Linked DNA regions of Tamandua tetradactyla. The protein of the gene in region 4 interacts with the protein of the main gene of each other region in a biochemical or structural test. Links are inferred from orthologs where the notes say so. Each region holds a gene or a part of one and is shown on either strand. Other genes may lie near its edges. The genes, in order: SMAD7, PTEN, DVL2 and WWP2.

Region 1 (7,459 bases), on a different chromosome or scaffold from region 4:
AACGTCACAAGCTTTACATTTTTCAGACACCACTATACAGGCACAAGGAAAGAAGAAAGTTATAATCCATGCTTTCAGCAAATAAATGTCCCACGGTCAGAAGGAGCTCCAGGAAACTGGAGCTCTAAGTCCCAGCTTTGCTGACCCTCTCCCACTCCACTGTTCCCTACATAGGGTGAGCCCTCCTGCTGCCAGCCATAAGTTGAATGCAGACAACCGCAAGCAGGTTGGCAGGTTGGTGCCAGCCTCCAATGGGCTTCTGCCCTGGCTGGGTGCCATCCGGTGACAAAGCAACAGGCAGGCAGAGCTATGCTAAAAACTTTTATGGTCCCTACCAAGAATTCTGAGAGAACCCCAGGCCGGAGAAGGCTGACTCCTAGGTGACTGGAGATGGGGAAAAGTCTTTAAAATCTTCTAAAAATCTCCCTCCAAATCAGTCTTCACCGCACCTTTTTAAACTGCCTTCTCCTGCTTCTATTTGCCCAATCTTCCCACGGATTCTCCTGGCACTCACAAAGCAAAGACTTTGAATTTTCCCACCAACCTATCCTATTTGGCTCCTAAGACATTTCTGTGTGGACCAAAGCTTCCATGTGTTAAAGCTGAGCCAACTTCCGCCACGCAGGGCAAATACATGAGAAAAGAATAGAACATAAACATAACTAGGAAACATCTCCATAAATTTAAAAATCCAGCCACAACAAAAACTCGGAAAAACCCACCAAACTTCCAATAGAGAAAACCGACAGGCTGGGAAGGAAGCCCAGCACTTTCCCAGATCGCTGGCCTAGGAATAAAACCTGGGTTCTAGAGGCTTCCTTCTTAACTAAAGACAGTAAGAATATTTTAAAAATCCTCTACTCACCAGTTGGTTTGAGAAAATCCATCGGGTATCTGGAGTAAGGAGGAGGGGGAGACTCTGGAATTAAAAAAGTAAGAGAAAATAAAGGCCGAGCCATGAGAAAGATAGAAACTTATGATAACAGAGGCATTCTTTAAGCCCAACTGTTTGTCTTAGCTGTGGGGGTTGGAGGCTGGGCCGCGAGGCGGTGATTGCCTTGATATTTAGCTGTCAGATAAACAAAAGAGGCCGCCTGGCGCCAGCCTCGGCGCTCCGCTCCTCCACGTCTGCCGGGGCCGCCGCCGCGTTCGGCGGGCCGAGCTGGAAACCACCGACTCGACCCGGGCCGCGCAATTCACAGTTCACCGGGCGGGGGGCGACAAGCCCCCCACCCCCCGGCCTCCAGACTCCGATCTCAGTGCTCCCCGCCCCGGCCTGCCCACCAGGGGCGCGATTCATCCCGGTCCCGGCCGCTCCGCTCGGCCCCCGCCAGGGGGGAGATTGCGGAGGAGGGCACGGGGTTCCCCTTTACCGGCCCGAACTTTCCTGGTTGAACTTGAGCCGGGGGTGTCTACAAGAGTCCGGCTCGGGGCACCCCACCTCACCCCACCCCCACCCCAGCACAGGCTTGGAGAAAAGGGAAGGGATGGAAGAGGCTGGGAAGATAAAAGGAGACAGGCTACGGGTCTTAATCCCGAAGCCCAGTTCAGGGCCCAGCGCGCTAAGGGGCAGCAACGACAGGGGGGCTCCGGGGCACACAGCTCTCCACACACTTCTATGCTTTTCTCTGCTGGGAGGAAAAAGTAGAGGAGACGTAACTTCTCGGGACCGTTTTTCTTTTCACTCTGGAGCTGGCCGAGTTGAGGTGGATATCAAGTTCGGCCTCCCATCCTAACCCTCTCGGCCCGCCCCAAAGCCCCAAAGCTGTGCGACCAGGGCCGTATCTGAGCCACTTGTGCCTGCCGCGACTGTCCGTATTTCCTAAAAGACAGGAGGCTTTTCCATCCTTTACAACTCCTGCTTCTCCCAGCCTTCTTTGGAGGACTTGGACGAAATCCAACTCGGCCACACATCCTAACGCCTTTCCGGGGGGGGGGGGGCGGGGGCGTGCCCCCTCCCTTTTCTCTGCATCCCCTGGCTGATCCGGAAATGAGGGTGCCTAGTTTTGAACCGCATGTCTGTGCAGTGTGTGCAAGAGCAGTGCTCACAGCCCCCTTGGGGGCAACAGACGAGAAACACTGGAAGGGAACCCCCAGGGAATGTCCCTCGAGTCTCCCCTCCACCCGCGCGTCCCTTTTCCATTTTTTTCCCAAGTCTCCTCCCAGGAAGGGATGTACACTTCCCCCAGGAGTGTTGACAATGGTGGGTGGCGCGGAGGAGGTGAGGAGGGTAGGGGCAGCACAACTTCTTACCTAGTTCGCAGAGTCGGCTAAGGTGATGGGGGTTGCAGCACACCAGCTCGGGGTTGATCTTCCCGTAAGATTCACAGCAACACAGCCTCTTGACTTCCGAGGAATGCCTGAGATCCGGCCACCTGAACACTTTGCACAGCAGGAGGGGGAGCGAATAGGACGAGGGCGACTGCGCGGGCTGGGCGCCGGCGGGTGTCCCCGGACCCAACCTGCAGTCCAGGCGGCCGGGCAGCAGGAGGCACGCGGTGCGGGTACCGCCGCGGGACTCCACCGCCTGGAGCAGCAGCTCCAGCTGCCGCTCCTTCAGTTTCTTGAGCACCGAGTGCGTGAGCGCCTTCAGATCCGCCTCGGCGCCCCCGGCCGCGCCGGCGCCCGAGGCTGGGGGGTGGGGATGGTGGTGACCTTTGGCACCTCTGACCGCCTTGCCCAGGCAGCAGCCAGCCCTGCCCGCGCTGCCGCCGGCCCCATGCGCCCGGCCGTCCGTCGCCCCTTCCCCCCGCGGCTCTCCTCCACCTCCCCCCGCGCCCTCCTCCTCGTCCTCGCCGCCGGGCGCACGGCTCCTCCAGAGACGCCGGACGAGCGCAGATCGTTTGGTCCTGAACATGCGGGGCGAGGAGGCGAGGAGAAAAGTCGTTTGCCGGCTAAGGAGCGAACATGACCTCCGCACACCATGAAGAAGTCGGGCGCCGAGTTGGGGCAGCAGGCGCAGGCGACAGCAGCAGCAGCAGGGGCCCGGGCAGGAGCGGCGGCGGCCCGAGGGGCGCTCCGTGGCATGCGCCAGTCTCCCGGAGGCCGGGGCGCGCGCGGGGTGCGCTGGGCGCCCGCCGGGGGTCAGGGGCCTGCGCTCCGGCTGCCCCACCCCGCGCGGCCCAGGCCCTGCGCGGCTCTCGGGCCCCGGCGCGCCCCGGAGAAACGCGGCCGCCGCTCCCCTGGGGGCGGCCGAGCCTGCCCTCTTCCGCGCCGCCACAAAAAGACGCCCCCCCGCAGCGGCTCCCGAGTGTCGGGCTCGCCAGCCTCGGCTTCCTACATGGAAGACCCGCGGGGGCAAAAAACGAAGGGCGTTCGGCAGTGCCGGTGGAGAGAGGAAAAAGACTCGTTCCCCCTTGCTAAGCAACTTAATTTGGGGGTGGGGAGAAGCAGGCAATTAAAAAAAAAAAAAGCAGGCACGCGATTTATTTTTTTCCTCTATATCCTTAGTAACCGGATCTCCTCGAATTCCGTGCACACGAAGACTCGGGGGAGGGGGCCGAGTGGACTTCACCCCGCATGAGATGTCTGGCGAAATAAGGAGGCTCTCTCAAAACCTAAGAACCAAATATGCAAAGCCAAAATGAAAACACAACCTTCTCACACCCCGGAGGTCTGGGGGCGTCCGGCTGGAGCTGGGGTTTAAAAAAAGAAAATATTTACAAAGTAGAACAAGATGTTTGAGGGGTGGAAAACCGTATCCACGAGTTACATCCCTCCTTTTTTCTTGCAGAGCCCCGCTGGTCTTCTCCTTTTCTTCTGCTCCCCCCAGAAAGAAAATATATGTATGTTTTTAATCCACAGAAAGCTTTGGCTTGGTTGCTTCAATCCTCCGCATCTGGGTATTTTAGGCAAGTCTCTGGTCTTTCCTTCTGCGCTCCCGGGGCCCGGGTCCTCGGCGGGGACTTCCTTGGGGCTGGCGGGGGCGCAGGGGCAGAAGATGCTGCGGCGGCCGCTGAGCCCCGCGGGGCTGACAGCGCGGGGGTGGGCGGCGCGGCGGCGGCGGGCTCCTGGCGGGTCGGAGCGCTCTCGCCCTCCCGGGCGCAAGCTGCTCGCTAGTGCGGGGGCCGCCGGCGCCCCCTCCTCTGGCAGCGGCTGCCAGCCGGGGCTCCCTGCATGGGCCGCTCGCCCCGACCCGGCGGCGACGGCAGGAGGCCCCGGGGTCCTCTCGCCGCCTTCTCCTCCGAGGCTCTCCTCGTCGCGCCCCGGAGCCTCCTTGTCCCCCGTCCGCCCTCTCCTGGCGCTCGGGTCCTTCTGCCGCCGCTGGGGACTCGCTGCGCCGCACTCAGGATCTCCGAGGTCGGACGCTCAGGGGCTCGGCGCCGGCGGGCTGGCTCCGTCTCGGGCAGCTCTCTCCCGCGCGGCAAGCAGACGGAGCACGGCGCCCGGCTGGCTCGGCTGGCGCGGCTCGGGGACAGGCTCCTCCGTGCGTCGAGCGAAGAGAGCTAGTGTGCCCGGGGCTCGCCGCCTCCCGCTAGGCCTCCCGCCCCCGCCCCCTTCCCTCCCTCTTCCCTCCCCCGCCCCCAGCCGCCGCCGCCTCCCGCCCCCCCCCCCCCCCCCCCGGCCCTGTGCTCGGCTGGTTCCACTGCGCAGTGGCGCGCCCGGCTCCGGCCTCGTCACGTGGCCGTCTAGACACCCTGTCGCTTTAAAAAAAAAAAAGCGATTGTGTTTCGCAAACAACAGATCGGGTTTCTAAAAGCTATTTCACCCCCCCACCCCCCGCCACCGCCACCCCCTCTCTGGTCTGCGAACGGGGACTAATGGGGGAGGGAGAAATGTGGGGAGCAGAGGCTCCCAGAATCGACTGCGATTTGGCACGAGCGGAGGAGAAACGCGAAAAAACGGGAGCACCGAGCTGGCTTCGCCGGCGAGTTTTGGAGCGGAACAAGCCGGTGGGTGGCTCGATGTGGACCCAGCCCGCCGAGCTTCGCCCTTCATTCATTCGTTTTGTTTTAAAGGCCCTGGCGGTGGATCCCTTTGGCCGCGCCGGAGAGAAGGGGGAGGAGAGCGCTGCCTCCGTTTAAAAGACATTTACACCGAACTGGACCGAGGCCCTGGGAAGTGTGTGCTGGAGGGAACAGCCGGGCCGCCAAGGGCGGGGAGGCGGCGCGAGTGTGACCTCAGCGGCGGCCGCGCGCTCCCTCCCACCCTCTCCCGCTCCGGGCTCCGGTTTCTGGGACTGCCTGGAGAAATGTGTCTTGTGCACAGCTCTGGAATGCATTTGGCCGGCTGACGAGCTGCGAGGGGCAGCGTCGTGGCGGGAGAAGGGAGAGAGCGGGAGCTCGCCCGCCCCCCGCCAGCAGGTTTCGCCCAGGGCCGGGAATGCTGCAGCCTGGCTACCCCACCTCCTGGCGCGGGAAGGTTACCCTCGGAGCGGACCTGCCTGGGGCATGGCGTATGCATGCGGGCTTTTGCAGCGCCCCCCTGGGCCTTGTACCTTTCAAGGTGCTCAAGATGCTTCGGGTCAGAGTTTATCCCCTGACCCAGGCTTGGGAGAAGCATACACCTAGCAGACAGGTTTCTGCGCAGAAGTGGGTAAGGAATTGCTAGGGTGAAAGCCCAGAATGTATTCACAGAGTGATGATACTAAGAAACGTAGTGATTTAGATATCTACACATCAGTCGCAGCAAGGCCTCCAGTAGCCATGGCGATTTAACCTCATGCATTTTATTCAACGACATATTTTTTTTAACATCATTTCAAATTGTGAGATCTGGACAACAAAGAAACTCAAACGGTGATTTTTAGAAAAGGTGAAACGTACTATTTTCATCTCTCTACCTAGATTATAAATTCTTAAAAGGTTCAGCTTAATTTTAGACAACTTTATAATTGCAGGCTCCCGGAGTCCCCTCCAGCACCTTTAAAGGTGTCTGATGTGGAATAGATGCTTAAAAAATATTTAAGAATCACGCTTAGGTAGGACTTGGGTAGGACTTTTAGGGGCATTTGGGCCACTTTCTCCTCTCCCCAAAAACACACCTTTGGAAACGTAAGTGAGAGGGGATCAGCAACATTGGTTACAAGGTCATCTCAGGCAAGGAGGGCCTGAAGCTTACTAACCTAGAAGACAGCAGATGCCAAGCAGTGTGGAAACCTATAGGAAGTGGCAGAAGCTGTCACTCTACACATTTATTTTATAAGGCTTCCTAGGGTGCAATTGTATAAAATCATACTTCTGCTTAAAAAAAAGTTACTTATCGAAAAGGTCATTGAAAACTGGGTGGTGTGTAAAACTTTCTAAAAAAGCATCCTCTAAAAGACAGCAGCCAAGAAAGTCCTGGAGGAAATGGAGAAGGAGGAGTTTTGCATGGGGTGATCCCATCAACATACACACCTAAAACCAGAAGAGACAGAAATGGGATTTTTGAGTTGTCTGGGAAATGTCTAACCTACTTACCTGAGAAAGGCTTAGAAAGAGACTAGAGCAGAAGTCAGAAAACCTGATTCCTGCAAGTAAAGCAACGTGCACTACTAATGAATCTCCTGGGAGGAGGGCAGCTGGCTGGGGTTGGAGAACTTTCTGGGCAAGTTTCCTGTCCTCTTGGGGTCCCATCCCCTCTCTCACCTCTGGACCTTCCTGGAAGATATTTGCTTTTTGAGAGGGGCTAGACTGGGTGGGAAAATGACAGGAAGAACTTAAATAAACAGAGAGAGCAACTGTCGTACATTGTAATTAAGTGTCTTGACTAAACAGAGACTCTTCAGAATCTTTTGGAAACCTGGTCAGTGGTGCTAAGGCCCTGATGAGTAGTGGCCCAAGTGCACACAGGGCCGGTAGTAGGTGTTTCTGTAGTTGAATCTGACGTCACAGCTTGTCTGCGTGGAACATGCATAAACTTGCAGAGCTATGTTCCCATATAGTGTAATTGTGGGTATTTTAATTCAGGCGTCACCCCTATCTTGCCCTCTCTACATAGCTTTCTTCCTCTACTTAACTACCCTAGGTAGAAGATCGGTGGGATTCCAGACAAGTAGCTGCAATGGTCGGTGCTGTTTTATAGCTCCCAGGCATTGCCTGAATCAGTTAACATCTCAAGCTTTCCTGCAGCCGGCCCCACCCCATCCTATTCTTATTCCTTTCCTTTCCCAGAAAGAAGCTGGGCAGTAGAGAATCCTCTGGCTGGCTGGGGTGCCTAGACAGAGAGTTCCTTTCTTTCCCTTCCACAGGCACAAATGTGCACGACAAGCAAGCACACCATTTCAGACTATTCTGATCCTGTTTTAAAAAAAATAAGTTTAAGAGTTCACTCAACTATTGTGAATGAGTTTGATTCTAATCATTTGCTGGCAGGGAATATGGAATAAAATATCTCATTTGCAATTGTTTATTTCCTGTTGTGGCTTCTATTTTCATCTTTTAGTCACTTTGGTGATAGTAATCAAACCCTAATCATGGTACAGCCACAAGTCACAGAGACCAAAATAACTTGCAGCCGAATATGACAAACACAGATA
Region 2 (6,945 bases), on a different chromosome or scaffold from region 4:
CTGAAGTTTAATCTCTACAATCACCAACTGCTATGTACACGATAGCCTTGGACCTACATGGAATTTGGGATCTAAAACCACTCAATCTTCATTCTATTACATATGATGTGGGACTGAACATAAAATGCTATCGCACTGTAAATTTCAAGCCCTATCCTACATCACCCTTTCCGGAGAGAAAACGGCAAATTTAACAAAGATCTAATAAGAGTGCCTTATAAGGCATAGTATGGCACTATTGATTTCAAACTACTAAACTTCTAACTGCAGTTCAAAGCTGTAATGAACTCAGTTTAAACATACAAACCTACCTTTGCCTTCAAAACGCACCGTATATGCAAAAAATGATTCTGCTTCTAAAGTTATGCAAATCAGTCCACAACACACATTTTATAAGAATCTATCAATGCAACCCAGGAAACTAAACACAATCACTGCAGATTCTGATGCAATATGCGTACGTGCAACACTAATTTTCATTTTAATCTGATCTATACCCTTGATGAAGCGCCTAAGCCAAGATTTAATCGAAATATGCTCAACCTCAAAGCCTCTACATTTTTGTTCATTTAATAAACCGGATTACCGAGCTCTCTAATCCACTGAGAGTACTGTATCCTGCATTAACGGACAATAGCCCCTAGGAAAAGACCACAGAGAACGACTAAGAAACCAATCTGCACCTTGACACTTGCAACCAGGCAAGAGTTTCGTCTAGCCGAACACACCCTACGTTGAGTACACTCAAGAGACACAAAATACATGATCTAGAAACCAGGGTTAAATGTGATAGCCCCCAATCTATGGAAATTATTCACATCCGTCTACTCCCACCATACGAGTGGCAGAAACGCAAAGAGTAGCAGCCGCAGAAATGGATACAGGTCAAGTCTAAGTCGAATCCATCCTCTTGATATCTCCTTTTGTTTCTGCTAACGATCTCTTTGATGATGGCTGTCATGTCTGGGAGCCTGTGGCTGAAGAAAAAGGAAGAGAGAGATGGCAGAAGCTGCTGGTGGCGGGGCTTCTTCTGCAGGATGGAAATGGCTCTGGACTTGGCGGTAGCTGATGCCCCTCGCTCTGCTGCCGCTTGACTCTGGACCGCAGCCGGGTAATGGCTGCTGCGGCGGCTGCTGGATGGTTGCAGCGACAGGGCCTGCTTCTCCTCAGCAGACAGAGGCCTGGCAGCGGCGGCAGCGGAATGGGGAGAAGACGAATAATCCTCGGAACGGCTGCCTCCTCCGGCGGCCTCCGGAGTCCGGGCCAGGGGGGGTGCGGCGGCGGCGGAGGGGAGATTTAAAACCGGCCCGGGTCCCTGGATGTGCCGCCGCCGCCGCCGCCGTGTTGGAGGCAGTAGAAGGGGAGAGACCAACTCTCCGACGTTCCCAGCCCTGGAAATGGTGACAGGCGACTCCGACCCCCTCCCCGGAGTTGCAGCCGCCGCGGCCGCCGCCGCCGCCGCCGCCGCTTCTCCCCCCCGCTCCAGGAGCGGGAGGTGCCGCCGCCGCGCCTCAGCCGGCTCCCTCCCGAGCCCACGGCTTCCACCTTCCCTTTCAGAAGAAACCAAGGAAGAGGCTGCACGGTTAGAAAAGAAGAGGAGGCGAGAAGCGTTGCCGCTGCCGCCGCCGCCGGCCGGCCGGCTCCCCGAGGGCGCTGCCCCCGCGGCTGCTCACGGGCGCTGAGAGGGGCTCTGGGCCGCGGCCGCCGCCGTCTATCATTTCCCTCGCCTGAGCCCGGCCTCGCCTCACAGCGGCTCAACTCTCAAACTTCCATCATGGCTGCAGCTTCCGAGAGGAGAGAACTGAGCGCAGCCGCGTCCCGACGCCCCAACGCATATCCTGCCGCAGTGCACAAAGAGTCCCGCCACATCACCGCCTGCCGGCCTACCCGCCCCCTCCGCCGCCGCGCAGAGCCCGAGCGCCTGGGGAGCCCGGGGGGTGGCGGGAGGAAGACGAGGTCGCGCCGGGGGAGGGGAAGGGAAAGGAGGGGAGGGCAGGGCTGGGCAGGGCAGGGCAGAAGCAGTAATGGGGGCCGAGCAGCGGCTCCTAGTGCAAACGCAGAGCCAGGAGCCTGCAGGCGCTACTGAGCATGCCCAGTGTGACTGCTGGGGACCCGCTCGGGCTTGTTCGGAGGCTCCCGCCTGTAACTGCTCGTGCCGCCGCTCCTTCTGCAGCAACGCTGGGCGGGGGAAACGGGCAAAGGCTCGGCCTCTACGGAGAAACCAAGCAGGAGGCAGGGTAGGCCGTTGCGGGGGAAGATAGGAGATGAATACTGAGGCCGGTGCGCTGAGCAGTGCCAGCCTCGAGTCTGAGGTTACCTGTGCACAGGTGGAGGGGCCAGGTGACCGCGCTGGTCAGTGTGTACGGAAACGCAGGCACTGTCCTTGCAGTGAAGACACCCCTCCCCCTGCCTCCGCCCCCATATTTCCCCGGTACTGCCTTCCTCCACACTCTCCTTTTGCCCCACTATCAGGCCACAGTCGTTTACCGGGATTTGACTGCAGCAGTTTTTGCCTAGAAATCCCACCCCTACATCTCTCCCTCTCTCCCCCACCCCCGTGTCTCTCAAGGTGTCAGTCTTAGCACAAATAACAAACAGCTATTGTGTCTTCAGTGTGTTTCTCCCTATCCGTCTCGCTTTGACTTCCCCCACCGCGGCTTCTGCAACTCGGCTTATTTGCCCTAAAAACGCAAGCTCCTAGGTGAGCGCCATAAGTATAAACAGATCAGCCCCTGAATTTCCAGGTAGCAAAGAACAACGGTCCAGATGGGCTGAAAGCGAATACCCGTGGGTAGGATGCACCCCGCGGGCCCTTCACTGGCCCCAGCAGAGCCAAGCCAGCCTCCCCTCGGGGTTACAGGTTGGTTCAACGCGACGTACCCGAGCTCTGGCCTTTGAGTCTATCTCGCCCCGCCCCTTTATGATCATAGCAAAAACCCGGCGGGGTGGATGATCCTGGATCTGCGAACCCGCAGCGAAGCTGCACCCGCTCGAGGCCGGGGCTGTGTGGCCGGGGTAGGAAGTACCGGACGGTAGGAAGCAGCAACCCGTGAGTGGGCGGGGCCGAAAAGACTTAGGAGAGTTCAAAGGAGGGGGTGGATGGATACAAGGGCCACAGACGGAACTACTTTCAGGAGGAGGTCACGTGTGCTCCTAGTTGGGGAACTTTCCAAATTCTCATTCCCCTACGATAGCTCTTGAGGCAAGTGGTCTGCTGCCTTCCGCTGGGGTGCGAGACCCCAGACCCTCCGAGGCGACGCCGGGAAGACATTCTCGGGGGAACCTCGTGCTGGAGCGCTATCGGCGCTGGCGCTGAGGAGCTGGTTACACAAGTACGCAGATGCAAGCACGTGCCCCCGCCTCTCCAGGCTAGTTATAGCCACCGAATTCTGTAGATCCTCGGGCGAGAGTTTCCCAGTTGGTCCCACCCCTCCCCTGCCACCGGCCCAACCGAGACCTGAGGTTCCTTGCTGTGGACTGCTCACGCTGTGCGTTCACATCCGTGAAGAGAAAGGGCTGAGCCCTGGGGGTCTGGAGCATCCGCCCTACCGGTGCTCTCTTCCTGAGGGCGAACCGGCCAGGCTGTGTGCACGCCTGCCAAAGGGGTATCTCTTGCAGCATCTCGCTGCAGGGTCCGCGATGTTGCAACAAATTTCTAGTCACTACCTTGGAGCTGGTGAGCGCGCCCCACCTACTGTAGACTCAGCCAAGTGACAGAGCTCGTCTGAAAACCTAGAGGATGGCCGTCTGCCCTGAACAAACCTGTCAAGTCTGTTTACAGTCCCGATCTATCCCTGTGAGAGAGAGCTCAGAACTGCAGAGCATTTCCAACCCCCGGACCCACCCCTTCTTATCAGCTACAAAGCAAATGGTCCACCTTCTGCATGGGCATTAATCAATACCAATGTAGGGATGCCTACCTTTTTGTTCTTTCCACTGGGAAGTGGAACTCAAGGCAACAATCTGAGTCCGGAAGGATCTGACTTGAGAATTCCAAATGTAGTGGAACCAGGCTGGGGCACTGGGTCGTTTTTCAAAATTCAGGAGAATGGGAATCAGTATGCCTGTGCATTGCAATAATTTTAAATAGGTGCCTAGGAAGGTCTAGAGAGGATTTATGCACTGTGTGAGAAAGGATTGTGTATGTGCTCATCATGGTTACAGGCAGCCTCTGAAGACTAGAAGCCCCAAGAGATCCAGCTTAGAAGCCACAGGCCATTACCTAACTCCAGGACTACTCATTAAACGGGGAATATTTACAGTATTCTCAGCGACCTCTGAAGCTCCATAAAACTTAGCATTTGTATACAACATCTTTTTTTAAAACAGCACCCTAGGAATTAGCAACCTGCCAAAGCTCTAATGTCAATATATTGGACTCTGGTTTTGTGCGTGTTTCTGGCCAGCTTGGAGGGGGTGGAGATCATGAATATAAAAGGAATTGGAGAGCAGTGTGGGGACGAATAGGAGAAAGCCCTGCTTTTGGTTTCCAAAGATGAAAATCCTGTCCATACAGCCTCGTGTGAGCTAGAAATTTCTTTATTTTACAAATAACCAAAGAGAAGGAGTCCCAGGTTTCAAGGTGTTCCCCTAGATTGCCTAAGAAGAAGCTGAGCTATCCCCAATTGAGTATCAACTACTTCTTGGGGGAAAGCGAAGATGAAGATGAAGCTAAATGAAGGGAAGTAGAATGGGGAGGGGTAAGATGTGCTATGTTTGTTTTCAGGTCGCTCATCTTGTCCCCAGAATATTTGTTATTTGCATTACACTGCTCCACCCCTCCCCTGGAGCCTGCCCTGTATGAACATTGGTGTCCCAACAGCTGAGAAACTCTCAAATCTGCTTCCTTGGGAGAAAATGGGCTCATTCCTGTCCCTCTTGGTGTCAGGCATGAAGAGAGGATACATTTCAATTCTCATAGCACAGAACTATTCTGGAGCAAGAGGGGATGCATCTGTAGCATTAAAATGCTAGAACCTGAGACTAGCCTGCAAGGATTTCTCTCAGACCAAAGGCAGAAAATAGGATATTTGCTCCTTCTCTGAACATCAAGTCCCTCTACTCCTCTCTAGTGGTGAAGGAAAGAATCACCCAATGTGGCAGATGTTTGGCCAGCCTAACAGTGCATCAAGTGGTTACTAGGAGTGGCTGAATAAAACCTCCTCCCTGTCCCAGTGTTAAGTATTTTTCTGAAGGAAATACTGATATATCCATTTTCACTTTTTCCTTCTACTCAAAGGATCTCCTTACCCAGATGGTAGATCTGAAACCTCTAAATAACTGGCCCTAATCTAAGGTGAGGAGAGTTAAAAAATAAATTGTGGGTTTTTTTCTTATTTAAATTACAATTATCTGCTTAGCTGTACAGATAATACAATACACTGGTTTCTAAGCACTTCAATTCCTTACCTGTCTGGATTCAGAACACCCTAGGGAGAAACAGAAGCTTGTAACAAAGGGAGAGTTATATAAAGCTTCAGGGAGACTAACTATACAGAATAATTAGTGAACATGATAAACCAGCTTTAATTATAGTTCCTCAGAGCTGATTCCAAAACTGTGCTGTTAATACACCCTAAGAAAGTCCAAGGAAAATTCCTTTCTTTTCTTTGATAAATGGAAATGACAAGCTGCTTGATGTGTGATATAAATAGTTGATGTGCTCTTTGTAGGTCCTGCTGCTAAAATGTCTTTTGTCTGTACTCTGATAGCTACGGTGCCTTTCGCATCTCCCACACACTGACCTTTCAAATAGAGATCTAAATCAATGGCTTTAATTTTTAAGTAATCTTCTCTATTTTTATCCGTTTAGCCAGTTTTCTAAATAATACAGAATAGAAAAATGTAGTAATTGTAGGTTTGAATTTAAATAGCCCATTTTTCCAAGGGTCTGAAGTCTTTTCCCTTATTTCATTTATCCTAATAACAAATATTGCTATTCCTTTACATATTCAAGACATTTCCTCAGAAGATACTGCCATGGGTTATATGTAAGTAACTATATCCTAAAAGAAAATTTTCCTGAACATAAGAAATGCTATATTCCAGGGGTCACACTGTGATTACACAGAAAATAAACCCAGTCAGCTCTTCATTCTGTGGGACACACTCTGTTCGTGTTATTTTTTTGTTTTCTAATATTTTTATTGAGACATCTTCACACATATACAGTCCATACATGGTATGCAATCAGTGGCTCATAATATCATCACATAGTTGTGTATTCATCACAATGATCATTTTTAGAACATTTGCATCACTCCAGAAGAAGAAATAAAAAGGAAAAAATAAAAAAGACAAAACTCATAAATCCCATGCCCGTTGCCCCTCTCTCTCATTGACCGCTAGTATTTCAATCTACCCAAATTTTATCCTTTATTTCCCTTATTATTTATTTTTAATTCTTATTTTTTAACTCATCTGTCTATACACTGGATAAAAGGAGCAGCAATACAAGGTTTTCACAATCACACAGTCGCATTATAAAAGCTATATATAATATACAATCCACAACGTTCCTCTTGTTTGGATTTATCAATGACAAAATTATAAGCACCATATGATGTTAGAGAATAAAGACGTAAGGATATTTTGAAGGGCAGGAAGGAGGAGTCATTCATCCCTTTCTACCTTCATAAATGATTCTGACTCCATTATCATGGAAGGAATAATTCTAGGTCCTGGGAATAAAGAAGGGAGCTGTATTAATTAGGGTTCTCTAGAGAAACAGAATGAACAGGGAACACTCGCAAATATAAAATTTATAAAAGTTTTTCATGTGACCGCGGGGATGCAGAGTCCAAAATCCGCAGGGCAGGCTGTGAAGCCAACGATTCTGATGGAGGGACTGGACAAACTCCACAGGAGAGGCTCATCAGCCAAAGCAGGAAGAGCCTGTCTCTTCTGAATCCTCCTTAAAAGGCTTCCAGTGATCAGATTAAGCAT
Region 3 (7,280 bases), on a different chromosome or scaffold from region 4:
GGGAGTTTGTGGTGGTGGTGCCGGTGCTCCCGGTAGTTGCCGCCGGAGATAGCCTGGTGATTGCTGGAGGAGTGGGCAGGTAGTTGTGGGGGGTAAGAGGGGTCTGGGTATTGTCTGCTGAAGAGGGACCTGTACCGATGGGTAGTTGGAGAGAGAGGGCCGGGAAGCAAGGAGAGCTGGGTAGTTGCAGGGGGCGGTGGGGCGGGGTGGGGGTGGGGGCTTAAGACCGGCGATTCGCCGGAGGAGGGGGGGTTGGTTGGCGAGGGTTAGCGCCTGGGAGTTGCGGCGGGCGAAGGGGGCGGCGGCAGCAGCGGCGGGGGTTGCTGTGAAGGGAGAGAGTCGCTGGTTGGGGGAGGGGGGCCTAGAGTTTAGGGGTCCGTAGCCTAGTGACTTGGTGGTGAGTACGGGGGCGGAGGGGGGACGGCCTGTGAGAGCTCGGAACTGGGCCCAGGGGCCCGGCGGGGAACCCAAGGAGCTCGAGACGGGGAGGGGCCAAAGCCCCGGATGGGGGCGGAGGGACGGCGAAATTGTGGGGAGCGCGGCGTGGGGGGGCAGGTGGGGCAGCGTCCGGGTTAAAGCCCTCTGGTCGGTCCCGGACGTGATGTGTGTGTCTGTGTGTTTGGGGTGGGGGTGAGGGGCACGCCAGGCCTCGTGCTCGAGTTGAAGGGGCCGGAGGGCGGGGAGAGGTTCGGCGTGGTCATATCGGATCCTGGGGGCCGGCGGGCGGCGTGTGCGATCCCGGAGGCCTGGAGCGGTAGCGCTTGGTGGGGCAGGAACGCGGGACACTGGGCACGTTGTGAAGGACAGGGGCGGGCGGCGAACTGACTCGGCCCGGGGTGCTGTTTGGCGGGGTGGGGCGCTAAGAGATCCGAGTAGTCTAGAATCTAGGGAAACCGTGAGTTGTGGGGGAAGGCGGGGCACCGGGCCTTCGGTGGGGGGAAGGGGAGCGGTATAGCGAGGCCTGGGAGGGCGCCGCGCCCAAGCTCCGCCCCTCATGGGGTGGGAGGTGAACGGCGGCGGTTCCAGCACAGCTGGGGGCCTGCTGGCCTGGCAGATGACCTGGCAGAAGAGGGGGTTCTCTTGGGATCGCCAAAGTTTCAAGGTGGGGGGTTTGCATGGACTGTTTGCTAGTACCTTGACTCAGCTTTTATTGCTTCCACAGATCCACCTCCGACCCTTAAGCCAGAGACTCAGGTGAGGTTTCCCTTGCCTTTGCAACCCAATATTCCTTCTAGCTTCCCAGCTCTTCCCCCTATCCCCACAGCTTTCCCAGATTCCTCATTCCAGGAACTATGTTTTTGGGAATGCCCCTCTGAAACCCCAGCTTCTGGTCTCCATGTGATCCATGTTTCCTTCCTTTCAGCCACCAGAGAAACGCCGGAGAACAATTGAGGATTTCAACAAATTCTGCAGTTTTGTCTTGGCTTATGCGGGTTACATCCCCCCTAGCAAAGAGGTAGGGACAGGAGAACACTTGGCTTGAAGCTGGTAGCCCAGAAGGGCTTTTGAGCAAATGGAATTGTATTAGTTTACAGGCGAGTTTAACAAATTATATGTAAGACTAGGAAAATTGGAAACTAGGTTTGTAGTGAGAAAATTAGTATCTGGGAGAATATTGGAAATAGGTGGCTTGGGTAGCAATGGAAGAGGCTGAACTTGGTTCTTGGGTCTTTAGTCAAGATTTTTGAATGGTATTTGGGATGCTGTGAATGGAAGGTCCTTCTGGATACATTTTAGGGAGCTGAAAATGGTAACAAATGAGGCTAAACAGATACAGCTAAAGAAACATGGGTCTGGGTAACAGTGTTCCAATTGCCCCAGCAGGGGAGATGGCTAGAATTTGAAGGCAGAAGTAACATGAAGTGCTCAACAAGAGATGAGGATGGGGTAGAAATAAGTTTCCAGAATAGAGTGAGATTTGGTGGATGGCTACAATATTTTGGCATAGATACAGTCTAGTTTTCAGGTTAGGTTTGTAGAGGGATGACATTGGGTCCCCTGCTGACCCTGGTCTCTTCCTCTTTTAAGGAAAGTGACTGGCCAGCCTCTGGCTCCAGCTCTCCATTGCGAGGTGAGAGTGCAGCAGACAGTGATGGCTGGGACTCGGCCCCTTCAGATCTCCGTACCATCCAGACCTTTGTTAAGAAAGCAAAATCATCCAAGAGAAGGGCGGCTCAAGCAGGTCCCACCCAGCCAGGACCTCCAAGGGCCACTTTCTCTCGCCTGCAGGGCCCTGACAGTGCCACCCTACTTGAGAAGATGAAGCTCAAGGACTCTCTCTTTGATCTGGATGGGCCCAAAGTGGCATCTCCACTCTCTCCCACATCCCTAACACATGTCTCCCGGCCCCCTACTGCCCTCACCCCAGTGTCCCTTTCCCAGGGAGACCTTTCCCAACCTCCTCGAAAGAAGGACCGAAAGAACAGAAAGTTGGGGCCAGGAGGGGGGTCTGGCTTTGGGGTGCTTCGGAGGCCTCGGTCAGCCCCTGGAGATGGGGAAAAGAGGTCTCGAATCAAGAAGAGCAAGAAACGGAAGTTGAAAAAGGCAGAGCGGGGGGATAGACTACCACCTCCTGGGCCTCCCCGAGCACCCCCTAGTGATACAGACTCTGAAGAGGAGGAGGAAGAAGAAGAAGAGGAGGAGGAAGAGGAGATGGCAGCAGTAGTAGGGGGTGAAGTCCCAGCCCCTGTACTCCCAACACCCCCGGAGGCTCCCAGACCCCCTGCCACAGGGCCTCCTGAAGGAGCCCCTCCCACTGACAGTGAAAGCAAGGAGGTGGGTAGCACTGAAACAAGCCAAGATGGAGATGCCAGTTCCAGTGAAGGGGAGATGCGGGTCATGGATGAGGACATCATGGTAGAATCAGGTGAGGGGGTTGGGGGCTGCCCAGGGGCAGGTGGGAGGAGGGGCTTGGGGAAGTCGTGGCCCCCAAGAGCTCAAGCAGGACACCAAGCAAACCTTCTTTTCCCTAGGTGATGACTCGTGGGATCTCATCACGTGTTACTGCAGAAAACCCTTTGCAGGGCGGCCCATGATTGAGTGCAGCCTGTGTGGGACATGGATCCATCTCTCCTGTGCTAAGATTAAGAAGACCAATGTCCCTGACTTCTTTTACTGCCAGAAATGCAAGGAACTGCGGCCAGAGGCCCGGCGGTTAGGGGGACCCCCCAAATCTGGAGAGCCTTGACATCACCAAGTCCAGGCTGGGACTTCCAGTTGACAACTTGACTTGGGAACTGAGCCTCAGGGTCCTCAACCCATCCCCTGGAGCTTGGACATTGTCCTACTTCAAGGCAGGAATTCCCAAGGGAGGCTTGTTTGGAAATGAGTATCTCATGGTCCTACCCTATCTTCCTCCCCACCCTCTGGACTTGAATTTGGATCCATAGCAGTTGGGGTTGGAGGTTGTCTGGGTCCCTAGACACAAAATCCCTGCCTCTTGGGCCTGCCTCACTTTCTGGGCCAGGGTTGAAATTGGGATGGGATGAGGCAGTTGTCTGTAAACTCTAGTGTAAATAGAGCACCGCCCCTTCCTCATCTTTTCTTCTTCCTATCTCCCTGTTTATTTTCTTCAACATCGGTTGTATTTTTAATTTTGGGCTTCCCCTTTTGGGCATGGCCGCTCAAAGGTGGAGTACCAGAGCCTGACTGAGGGAGGAAGAAAAGCAGAAAGGTGACATTTCTCTCATTCACCTCTTTTGTTTTTAATAATATTGGCCAGCTGTACAGACAGCCTACATGTTGTAAATAAAGCGAAATGGGCTCTTTTGTGTTTATAGCTCTCACTGATTGTCCTGTTTGGGAGGGAGGCTATGGAAAAGTGGGAAGAAAAGTCCAGGCTGGAAATGCCCCTGCAGTGGGTCTTTACCATCGGATAACTGCACAACCCCAGGGTAGGACTTGGGTCCGCATTGCCCCACCTCATCTCCAGTCTAAGACCCCCCACAAGCACACTTCAATGGATCAGAGTTGTCTTGAGCTTCCCGCCCTGATGAGGTAGAGCGGGGTGGGAGTAGGCCACCTGTTTCAGAGGGCAGAAGCCAGATTCAGCCCGGGTGCTGTGGAAGACACGGGTGGGGACACATTTTCGGGTGGGGCTGTTGAGGGTTGGGAGACCGTTGCTGAAGGCAGCGCTCATGTGGCGGGGGCGCTAGGAGGAATCAAGGAGGTCACGTGATCGGGACAAGTCACGTGACGGAGGGACAGCGGGGAGCGCGAGGCAGGCCGGGTGTGGGTCACGTGACACAGGGAGAGGTGGGCGGGGCAGCGGTGTCTGCTCGCGGCGTCGGCGGCGAAGTCTGCGGCTCTGGGTAGTGCCCCACGCCCGGCCCGCCCCCGCCACCCGCTATCTTCTCTCCCGCACTTCTCGGACGCTGCCGGCCTTGTCCGCTGTCGCGTTTTGGTGTGCGGGTGTGCGCAGGCGCGGCGTGGGCGAGCAGCCCGGGTGGGTGGGCGGCGGAGCCCGGGAGCGCGCGGACGAGACCATGGCGGGCAGCGGTGCGGGGGTTGGTGGTGTCGGAGAGACGAAGGTGATTTACCATTTGGATGAGGAAGAGACTCCCTACCTGGTGAAGATCCCTGTCCCCGCCGAGCGCATCACCCTGGGCGATTTCAAGAGCGTTCTGCAGCGGCCCGCGGGCGCTAAGTACTTTTTCAAGTCTATGGATCAAGATTTCGGGTGAGCGCGAGGCCTAGACTAGGACCGATGGGGGCTGGAGTGGATTGAGCAATATTGAGGGACACAGATCTGTTCTGAACCATACTGGGATTTTCTGGGCTTCGTGGAGCAGACTGTTCTAGGCTGGGTAGATTGACTCTCCCGGAACGGACAAGGTTATGCTTCGGCGAATGGAGGCACACGGAGCTAGCTGTAGAAGGGCAGACTGGGCTGTACTAAACCAGATTAGAGAAGATTAGGCTATACTGAACTAGAGCGGGGCACACGGGCTTATTTGGGGGGTAGACTGTCCTGAACTAGATGGATCTGTCCTTTGGTAGTTGAGTACCTTCTGAGCAGTCTTGTAGCACCCTGAGTATACAGGGATCTCTTGAGATAGATTGGGCTATCATGAGGCAATTTGGGACATTTCGGGCCTATAATGAGATAGTTTGGGGGGACAGTCTAGGTTCTACTAATGCAGACAGTGCGGTTTTGGGATGTTCCAGGCTGTCGTGGAGTAGATTAGGCTGTTCTGGAGAAACGTGGTCTATTCTGGTCTCTCCTGGGTTAGACAGACTTGTATGGTTGATCCTGGTTTGTTTTGGGGCCGCCGTGGTTTTATTAGAATACTTGATACTGGGGCAGCTGGGGCAGTTAGGGTCTATACTAGTACAGACGGCTGTATGGGGATATCTCAGTCTATACTGTTGTAGACAGCTGCAGGTGGGGGGTGTTCTAGGCTGTGTGAGATTACAGTGGGCTTTGCTGGAGTAATTTGGGACCTTCTGGACTATCCTGGGCTAACCCTAGGCTGTTTGTAATGCAGAGCAAGCCCTTATGTTTTTATATAGCCTTTGGGACAATCCCTCAGGGGCACTCAGTCTCAGTGCTTCTGGAGGCAGGCTAGATTAAGTTGGGATAGCCTGAGTTCTTGAAGAATTATGACTGTGTTCTACCTAGAAGGGCTGACTGACACTGGGAGAGCAGTGCTGTCTGGAGAGTTCCCTTGGAGTTAAATCAATGTTCTTTTATGTGTCAGCACTGTAATCTTGGGCAACATATTTAACTTTCTGGGACTTTGATGTGCATAACTGTGAAATGAAGATAATCTCTGAATAAAATGCTTAGTGGAAGTTCATGGCACACGTAAATTCTCAGTGATTAGTAATTATCATTATTTGTATCAAGGTTGACTAGTCCTAGACTAGGTTATAGTGATACAGAATAACTTGTCTTGGAGTCACTGGGCTGTCCTGAGACTGCGATTTGGGGACGGAAACTACATTACACTGAGATTAGTAGTAACTGGCTGTGTTGATACAGAACAGGTCATGCTGGTAGCAAATGGATTAAGTTGGCATATATCCAAGCTCTCAGAACCCATATTAGGCTAAAGGATTAATCAACAGGATGTCCCAATTTGGGTGTGAGAATGTGTGTATGAGAGGAAATAGAGAAACCAGAGTCTCATAGTTCATTTATTTATTCATTCAGTCAAATATTTGCTAACGCTTCCTAAGCGTTGGATACCAGCTTGTGTGGTCAGGGCCTGGTGTCCAACAGGAAGGGCATTCCTCATTTGATGTGGTGCTTGACAAGAAGGGCCAAGTCCAGTCTACCATAAGGAACCCAGTGGAGAGATGACCCGTAGGCCTGGGCTTCCCTTTTGAGCAGATTGCTTTCTGCAGAGTTCTGTGCCACGTGAGGCACATGGGAATGGGAGGATGGGCTCCTTTGCTGTGGGACCGCTCAGCCTAACGGCGAAGTGCTGTTCTTTGGACTAATGGCTATTTTCACCTAGCAAAGCAGCACGTTTGGATAGATCTCTGGAAGATTAGTTAAAGAAAAATAAAGGGGAGCATGATTAGAGAGATGAAGCCCAAAGCCTTTAGGGTAGGTGTGTGAGGAAGAGAAATGGGGGTGGGATGAGGTCACCAGCAAGGCTGGTAAGGTTGGATATGTTGGGCTCCTGGGGTGGCCATGGGAGGGTGGTTTTTTCAATTGGACTGAGAGATTTGAATCAGACTCAAGGAAATCTTTGCAGTAGCATTGAGCCCCCAAGGATGAGCTGGGGAGAGAAGTTAAAATAAGGAAAGGGAATTAATTGAGTTTAGAGCCTTCTCAGGGCAAGAGGGAGGTGTTGCAGAGTAAAAGAATACGACTTGGATAAGGAGAGAAAGTCAACATCCCTGAGCTGCTGGAAGGTTGGGAGGATGCAGAAACTTTGAAATGTGGATGGGAGCTGGGGGAAAATTGCCCAGCCTCATTGACCTTTATCTTATCTCTTTGCAGGGTGGTGAAGGAAGAAATTTCAGATGACAATGCCCGCCTTCCCTGCTTCAATGGAAGGGTGGTCTCCTGGGTAAGGGGCCCTGACTGTAAGGGCCCAGGCCCTTCCACATTGCCCAGCTCCCCCCAGCATCTGTAGCCCTCTGTTCGGTCGTGGAGGCCCTGACTTTCTGCTTTCCTGCCCATTTGGGGTCTGGATCCCCTCAGCCTTCTTCCTCTAGAGCCTCTACTGCTTGCTGCTGCTTTCTGGGCGCTTCTCTAGGCTCTCTCAGTCTCTCAGACTCTCTAAACCTCTCCCTTACTCGTAGCACTCATGCCCTGCCTCCCAATT
Region 4 (7,277 bases):
AATTAGTTGATAATTTTGGAGAGGCTGGTCCCTCTGAGTTTCAGGATTTATCAGGCCTAGAAGCCTTCTAGAAATTATAGGTTCCAGGAAAGCAAACTTAGTGCATCAAACTTTATTTATAGAGTCTCAAGCCCAAGGTTTTCTTAAGAGTTAGCAGGAGTGATGTTGATTGGGGTTAAGCAAACCATGGCAATTAGCACTATCAAACTGAAACTTGCATAAGAGTAGCCTCCAGAATAGCCTCTGGACTCCATTTGATCACTCTTAGTCACTGATGCCTTATTATTTTTTTTAAACCTTTTAAGCTGTATAGTATAACATATATACGAAGCAAAGAAAGAAAAAAGCAATAGTTTTCAAAGCACTCTTTAACAAGTAGTTACAGGGCAGATCCCTGAGTTTATCATGGGTTACCATACCATCATCTTAGATTTTTTCCTTCTAGCTGCCCCATAACATTGGAGGCTATAACGAATAAGTAATTTTTTATCACCACAATTGATTTTTTTCTTTTTTTGTGAAAAATAGCATTTATACAAAAAAGCAATAAATTTCAAAGCACAAAAATTTCTAGAGGGGCAGGCAATGGTGGCTCAGCAGGCAGAGTTCTCGCCTGCCATGCAGGAGACCTGGGTTCGATTTCCGGTGCCTGCACAGCAAAAAAGGAAAAGTTCCAAGAGGGATGAGAGAAGGAATATGGAACTATTAAACCTTACCATCAGGTAATCCCCTGACACCATGTCAAACTTTAGGGACACCCAAATCAATAGGCCATGACCCCAATCCTGAGGCTTACTCTTGTAAAGCTTATGTAGGTAGGGGAGAAGCTCAGACTACCTATAGGCATGCCTAAAAGTTACTTCTGGAGGACCTCTTTTGTTGCTCAGATGTGGCCTCAGTCTCTCTAAGCCCAACTCTGCAAGTGAAATCATTGCCCTCCGCCCTACATGGGACATGACATCCAGGGGTGAAAGTCTCCCTGGCGATGTGGAAGATGACTCCCAGGGATGAATCCGGATCTGGCACTGTGGGATCAACAATTCCATCCTGACCAAAAGGGGGAAAAGAAGTGTGATTAATAAAGTATCAGTGGCAGAGAGAGTTCAAATAGAGTTGAGAGGCTACTCTGGAAGTTGCTCTTATGCAAGCTTCAGTTAGACCTTGCTACCTATCATAACCTACCAATCCCCAACCAGGACCATTCCGGCCAATCTTAACACCTAGGGTTCTTATCTTATATATTGATATAAGATTCCACAAGGGTTCCAGGCACTAGAGTAACTTTCCAGAAACCTGCAACCTCCAGATGGGTCCTTGGTCCAGATAAATCCTGAAACCTAGAGGGCCCAGCCTCTCCAGAACATCAGATGGTTCCATCTCCCTACCCCATATTTGTGACAAACCCTTCCAATATGAAAAATTTAGGATGGTCATAGCCCAAACACTCCTAAAGAGAGGGACGGAAAGATCAAAGGTGATGGTGGAGTCATACAGTGAAGATAGGATTTAACAAATGAATATGAATGTTGAATCATTAAACTGGTATCTCTTTTAGTCTCCACTATCTTAGAGCAGCTAGAAGTAAAAACCTAAAATTGTGGAATTGTAACCCGTGTGAAACTCTGAAATATGTTCTACAACTAATTGTGGTGCTGTGCTGTGAAATTTTTTCATCCCTTTTAACTTTTTTTACTGTATAGTAGAGCATACATAACAAAGCAAAGAAATAAAAAAGCAATAGTTTTCAAAGCACTCTTCAACAAATAGTTATAGGACAGATCCCAGAATTTGCTCTAAGATACTGCTCTAAGATACTGGCAACTAAAAGAAATATCAATAAAATGATTCAGAAATCATACTCATTTGTGAAATCCTACCATTTCGGTATAACTCCACCATCACCTTTGATCTTCCTACTCTTTAGGTGTATTTGGGCTATGCCCATGCTAACTTTTTCATTTTGGAAGGGGCTATCAGTAATATGGGCTATGGGGATGTAACTAGTTGATGTTCTGGAGAGGCTGGCCCCTCTGCATTTCAGGACTTGTGTGGTCTAGGAACCCAACTGGAGGTTGTAGTTTTCTGGCAAGTTACCCTAGTGTATAGAACATTTTGTAGAATCTTATATATTGCCCTAGGTTTTAGGACTGGCTGGAGTGGTCTTGGTTGGGGTTTGGCAACCTATAATTTGGAGCAATGTCTAACTGAAGTTTGCATAAGAGTGACCTTCAGAGTAGCCTCTTGACTCTATTTGAGCTCTCACAGCCACTGATAACCTTATCTGTTACACTTCTTTCCCCACTTTTGGTCAGGACAACATTGTTGATCCCATGGTGCCAGGGCCAGGCTCATCCCCAGAAGTCATCTCCCACATGGCCAGGGAGACTTTCACCCTGGATGTCATGTCCCACGTAGTGGGGAGGGCAATGATTTCCCTAGCAGAGTTGGGCTTAGAAAAAGAGAGCCCATCATTTTAAAACTTCTACTTTGAAATAATTAAAGATACACAAGAAGTTGCAAAGAAATGTATAGGGAAGTCCTACCACTCTCCCCCAATATCAACACTGCAGACAATCACAGTACAACTTTAAAATCAAGCAACCAAAATCAGTACAATCCATAGGGCTTATCTGGATTTCACCAATTTTTGTGCTCACTTGGTATGTGTGTGTGTGTCCACGTAACTTTCACACATGTGAGCTTTATTTAACTACCACCACAATCAAGACACCCATTCCCTGCATCTCAGATTCCTGGCTACCACTAACATGTTCTTCATTTTTTAAATAATTATTTCATAATTCTTCCCTAAAGGAGTCATATAGCTCATGATTTTATGAATCAGGAATCAGACAGAGCTTGGCTGGGTGATTCTCCTTTTCCATGGCATTGATGCAGATCACTGGGTGATAAATCAAGTGCCAGATGGGCTGTGCTGAAGAGTCTAGGAGGCTTCGACTGCACATCTGGCAGTGACAGCTAGAAGGCTGGGCTCATGTGGGACAGTTAGCTAGGGAGCCTGCACATGGCCTCTTCAGAATCGTGGCCTCGTGGAAGGAGTACTACTTCTTACCTGGTAGCTCAGGGCTTCAAGAGTGTTTCAGCTGACAAGATGGTATTTCATGTTTTAACCTCAGAAGTGATGCAGCATTACTTTCTCCATACTGTATTGGATGAAGCAATCCCAAGTCCACCCAGATTCAAGGGGAGGGGGCATCAATTCCAACTGTTGATGGGAGGGGTGTCCAAGAAATTGCAGCCATGATTCAATACCACCATAAAAAAAAGAAATAGATATCTGAAAAACAAACACAATAGTTATAAAGGCGATAAACCATATAAACTATGCTGCAGCAAGTAGAACCAAAAACTACAAAAATTTAGATTAGCATTAGAAATACCACCCCAAAAATAAGGAAGGCTACCAATAAGATGATGCTAGAAAGTTACCCTAGTGCATGGAACCTTTGCAGAATCTTATAAAATGCCCTAGGCATTCTTCAGGATTGGCTGGAATGGTTTTGGTTGGGGTTTGGCAAGTTATAGTAGGTAGCAATATCTAACCGAAGCTTGCGTAACAGTGTCCTCCAGAGTAGCCTCCCCAGTTTATTTGAGCTCTCCCAGCCACTGGTACCTTATTTGTTACACTTCTTTTCTCCCTTTTGTTTAGGATGGTATTGTTGATGTCACTGTGCCAGGGCTGGATTCATCTCTGGGAGTCATCTCCCACCCTGCGAGGAAGACTTGCACCCCCCAAGCAGGGTTTTTTAAGAAGCTTTTCTATTTTAGTTCAATATCACAAGAACATATGTTCCACAAAGGCAGGGATTTTTGTTTCTAGAGCCTAGAACAGTGCCTAGCACACAATAGGTGCAGGATCATCAGATTTACTGAGTAAAATACAAGTTGCACAATTAAATTTCAATTTCAGATAAACAATGAATACTTTTCTTTTCTTTTTTTTAGTATTTTATCCGGCAACCTTACTATGGAGGTCAATAAATATTTGTTGACTTCATCTATTGAATTAACTCCTCTCACCTGTAAAATGGGGTTAAATGATAGTACCCGCCCCCAAAGATTTGATGGGAGGAGAAAATGAAGCGCCTGGCCCTCAGTGACCCTCAATTTATGATTGCTCAGGGAGCATCTTGGAGGTGAAAAAAAATCCCTCCACTTTAAAAACACAAAAATAAAATGCGCTACCCAGGCCAAAGGCTCCTGGCCAGGCCCGGCTGCCCACACCTGCAAACCCGGCCAGCCTCTTCCGGGTCAGGTGACCGCCCGTGGTCACGTGACCCGGCTCGAGTGCGGTCGGTGGAAGGCGGAAGTGGGAGAGGAGTTGGGCGCCGCTTCTGTGGCCGCTGCAGGTAGCGAGCGCGGGCGCAGGGCTGCCCGGAAGGCGGCCGGGCTTGGCGGGTCGGGCCCCGGTCAGCGGCGGCAAGTGCTGGGCCTGGGGCGGCGCGGCCCGGGCTCCGGGGGGCGGCGGCTTCCTGTGGGAGGGGCCTGGCGTGGCGGTTCCGGCCTCCGAGGAGGGGTGTCCCGGCTCCCGCCGGTGCGGGGTGGGCGCGCCGGGGGCCGCGTGCGGGGGCTGCACGGGGGTGGTCTCTAAAGGCAGCCAGGGGTTCGGCAGGCAGTGAATCTTCCCGGATGCCAGGGGCTGGAGAGGTGTGACATTTGTGGAGGGATCGGGAGAGGAGGAAGGGGGGACTTGGGACTGAACTGGAAGGAGGTGCCTGTGAATGGGCATTTGGCTTGGAGGGAAAGAGGGAGAGATGGAAGCAGATGCTGCCTGAACCTCATCTGAGAGTCTCTTCCTTCCGTTCTCTTTTGCAAGGATTGTCACCAGAGACTTTGATTTCTGTCCCTTTAAGTTTTTAAAACTTCAGGAGGGATCACGGAATCTTGATCATCTTGCTTTCGTCACACCCCCTTAGTCCTGCTTGGATCGGGTTTCTTCTTCTCGGGAACCTAGCCCTTCAGATCACCTTTCTTTGAGATTTTCCCAGATCAGGTCATCTTTAAGACTTAAAAAAAAATGTGGGTACTTATCTCTCGTTGTAAAATGACAGTCGAAACTGTTGACCGCGACTTAGTCCAGCATTTACCCCCGCAACTGCTGAAATCTTGGACAGAGCAGTGTCTACCTACACATTTTGTGACTTTGCTTCTTTCTTTGGTTTAAATTATTCAGCTTCCCTTACCATGTGACTACTTTTCTTGACAAACTGTAACTAGTTGGGGTGGCTGAGAGGTCTGTGTTGTGTTCCTTAGAACCGTGACCTATGAATCATGGTTTTGAGATTAGATACCTGTATTAAAGCTTCTCGAGCTCCTCTTTCTATTCATGTTTACTAAAATTTGCAAAAGTGAAATAAGTTTCAAGAATACAGCATAACTGGAGTAAATGTTTAAACTGGACATTCACAGGACCCAGAGTTGTCGTAGATTACAAGTAGGACAAAAAAAGTAACTTTGCTAATGTATTATGAGTTCAGGTTGTAGAGTATTTGACAAACATTGAAAAATTAATTTTCGTAGTCACCTTGTGAGTTAGGTTGGGAAGATATTAGTCCCATTTCACATTTCACAAGATCTGAGAGGGACAAATCGATTTTTAACAATTTTTGTTTTCTTGTTACTGGTCCCTTTTCCCCCACTAGACTGCAAATCCCTCAAGGACAGGGTTTATATATTTGGCTTCCAGCCTAGTGCCTGGCACATTGTGGGCACTTGGTAAATAGGTGATGAATGAATGAGTTTCTAAAGGTCACCTTGCTGAAAGTGGCAGACAGAGGATTTTAACTTAAGTCTTCTATCTTAGCTCTTGCGAGACATGCTTGTCTTTTTATGTGTTGTTGGTCCATTTGGAAATAAAACCCTAAACATGGGTGAAAGGCTAGGGTTGGCTTCTCAGTCTCTTCCACTTAATGACTCCTTCCCTATCTACAAAGAACTTTGTGCAAATATCCCATTTAATTTCTACCATAAGCCTGTGAAGTTTGATGCTGAGCTAGTAAATGACACAGTAGGGAGGCAAGTGCAGGCTTTTTATCCCTAGACCTGTTCTTTTTCATTTATGGAGATGATTTTAAGTTTTATTTTTAAATATTAAAAAAATGGCATTCTAAGAAAAAATATTAATAGTATAATCACAGTAAAAATCAGTACTGTAGACTATATAGAAAATCCTTTGTCATAACTACCTCTTCTTCCTGGGAAAACATTCTGTTATTCAATGGATATAGGTCCTTGCATTATTGTAGAGTTGCACTGTCTAGTACAGTGGCCACCAGCTATTGAACCCTTGAGATAAATGCACATTCTATTTCGAAGATTTAGTATGAAAAACCAAGAATATATCATTGATATTTTTATATTAGTGATACAAATATATACTATTAATTACCATTAATCATTTATGGAAATCATTTATATAAAATTTATGGAAATGATTTATATAAAAATATTTTATATTTATGATACAAATATATACTATTAATGGTAATATTTTGAATCTACTGGGTAAATAAATTTATTAAAATTGTTTATTATAATTTTTTAAAATAAATTACTCAACTGTTTATTTTTAAAAATGTTGCTCCTAGAAAATAAGAAGTTAACATATGTGGCCCCCAGATAGCACTGTTCTAAGTTGCGGGGAAATACAGTGGTACATAAGAAAGGCAACCATCCCTGCCCTTGCAGATCTGAAATGTTAATGGGGAAAGGAAAATGGATAAGATGCATATTATATTGTGATAAAGCAGACAAGAGGGATGCGAAGTGTTCAGTGGGGTTGCAGTTTTAAATAGGGTGCTTAGAAAAGCCTGCCTGAGAAGGTGACAGTTGAGTAGAAGATCTAAAGGTAAGAGAGGGAACCACATGGCTGAATGGGGGCATAATGGTCCAGGCAGAGAGAGGTCCAGGTGGGAAGTTGGAAAACCCTAAAGAAGGAACACCCCTAGCATGCCTGTAGACCAGTGTGGCTAGAGGGAGTGTGCGAAGGGTAGAGTGGTAGGAGCTGAGGTCAGATTGCTGTTGGGGGAAAGAGGAGAGATGGGCAGGTGGTGTAGGGTCTTGTAGACCATCAGAAGGATGTTTTTCACTCAGAGTGAGTTGGGGTTGTTGGAGGGTTTTCAGCTGTGGAATGACCAATCCAGCCTATCTTTTAACCTACTCACTCTGGTTGCTGTGCAGAGAAAGCACAAAGGGCATCGAGGGTAGAGGCAGAAGGTGAGTCTATTGTCATTATCCAGATGAAAGATGGACCAGGG

Evidence for each region.
Region 1: the proteins of WWP2 (region 4) and SMAD7 are reported together in a solved structure, tested with the Homo sapiens proteins (2 studies listed by BioGRID, with this or other methods). The link is inferred for Tamandua tetradactyla from reciprocal best matches to the Homo sapiens genes WWP2 and SMAD7.
Region 2: the proteins of WWP2 (region 4) and PTEN form a complex in vitro, tested with the Homo sapiens proteins (7 studies listed by BioGRID, with this or other methods). The link is inferred for Tamandua tetradactyla from reciprocal best matches to the Homo sapiens genes WWP2 and PTEN.
Region 3: the proteins of WWP2 (region 4) and DVL2 form a complex in vitro, tested with the Homo sapiens proteins (2 studies listed by BioGRID, with this or other methods). The link is inferred for Tamandua tetradactyla from reciprocal best matches to the Homo sapiens genes WWP2 and DVL2.

What each region holds. Positions count from the first base shown.
Region 1 is NC_135344.1:34,119,873-34,127,331, reverse strand, and holds the start of SMAD7 (mothers against decapentaplegic homolog 7), read right to left. Parts: upstream 3,007-7,459; 5' UTR 2,858-3,006; coding exon 2,254-2,857; intron 920-2,253; coding exon 866-919; intron 1-865. UniProt on the Homo sapiens protein: Antagonist of signaling by TGF-beta (transforming growth factor) type 1 receptor superfamily members; has been shown to inhibit TGF-beta (Transforming growth factor) and activin signaling by associating with their receptors thus preventing SMAD2 access.
Region 2 is NC_135339.1:47,986,465-47,993,409, reverse strand, and holds the start of PTEN (phosphatidylinositol 3,4,5-trisphosphate 3-phosphatase and dual-specificity protein phosphatase PTEN), read right to left. Parts: upstream 3,017-6,945; 5' UTR 2,881-3,016; intron 2,003-2,880; exon of another isoform or gene 1,870-2,002; coding exon of another isoform or gene 1,828-1,869; intron 1,827-1,827; coding exon of another isoform or gene 1,773-1,826; exon of another isoform or gene 1,630-1,772; intron 1,466-1,629; exon of another isoform or gene 978-1,465; 5' UTR 962-977; coding exon 883-961; intron 1-882. UniProt on the Homo sapiens protein: Dual-specificity protein phosphatase, dephosphorylating tyrosine-, serine- and threonine-phosphorylated proteins.
Region 3 is NC_135332.1:61,100,604-61,107,883, reverse strand, and holds the start of DVL2 (segment polarity protein dishevelled homolog DVL-2), read left to right. Parts: upstream 1-4,260; 5' UTR 4,261-4,484; coding exon 4,485-4,678; intron 4,679-6,952; coding exon 6,953-7,022; intron 7,023-7,280. Other genes in the region: PHF23 (PHD finger protein 23), read left to right, coding at 1,163-1,194, 1,364-1,456, 2,029-2,866, 2,973-3,187.
Region 4 is NC_135342.1:63,871,587-63,878,863, forward strand, and holds the start of WWP2 (NEDD4-like E3 ubiquitin-protein ligase WWP2), read left to right. Parts: upstream 1-4,259; 5' UTR 4,260-4,370; intron 4,371-7,277. UniProt on the Homo sapiens protein: E3 ubiquitin-protein ligase which accepts ubiquitin from an E2 ubiquitin-conjugating enzyme in the form of a thioester and then directly transfers the ubiquitin to targeted substrates.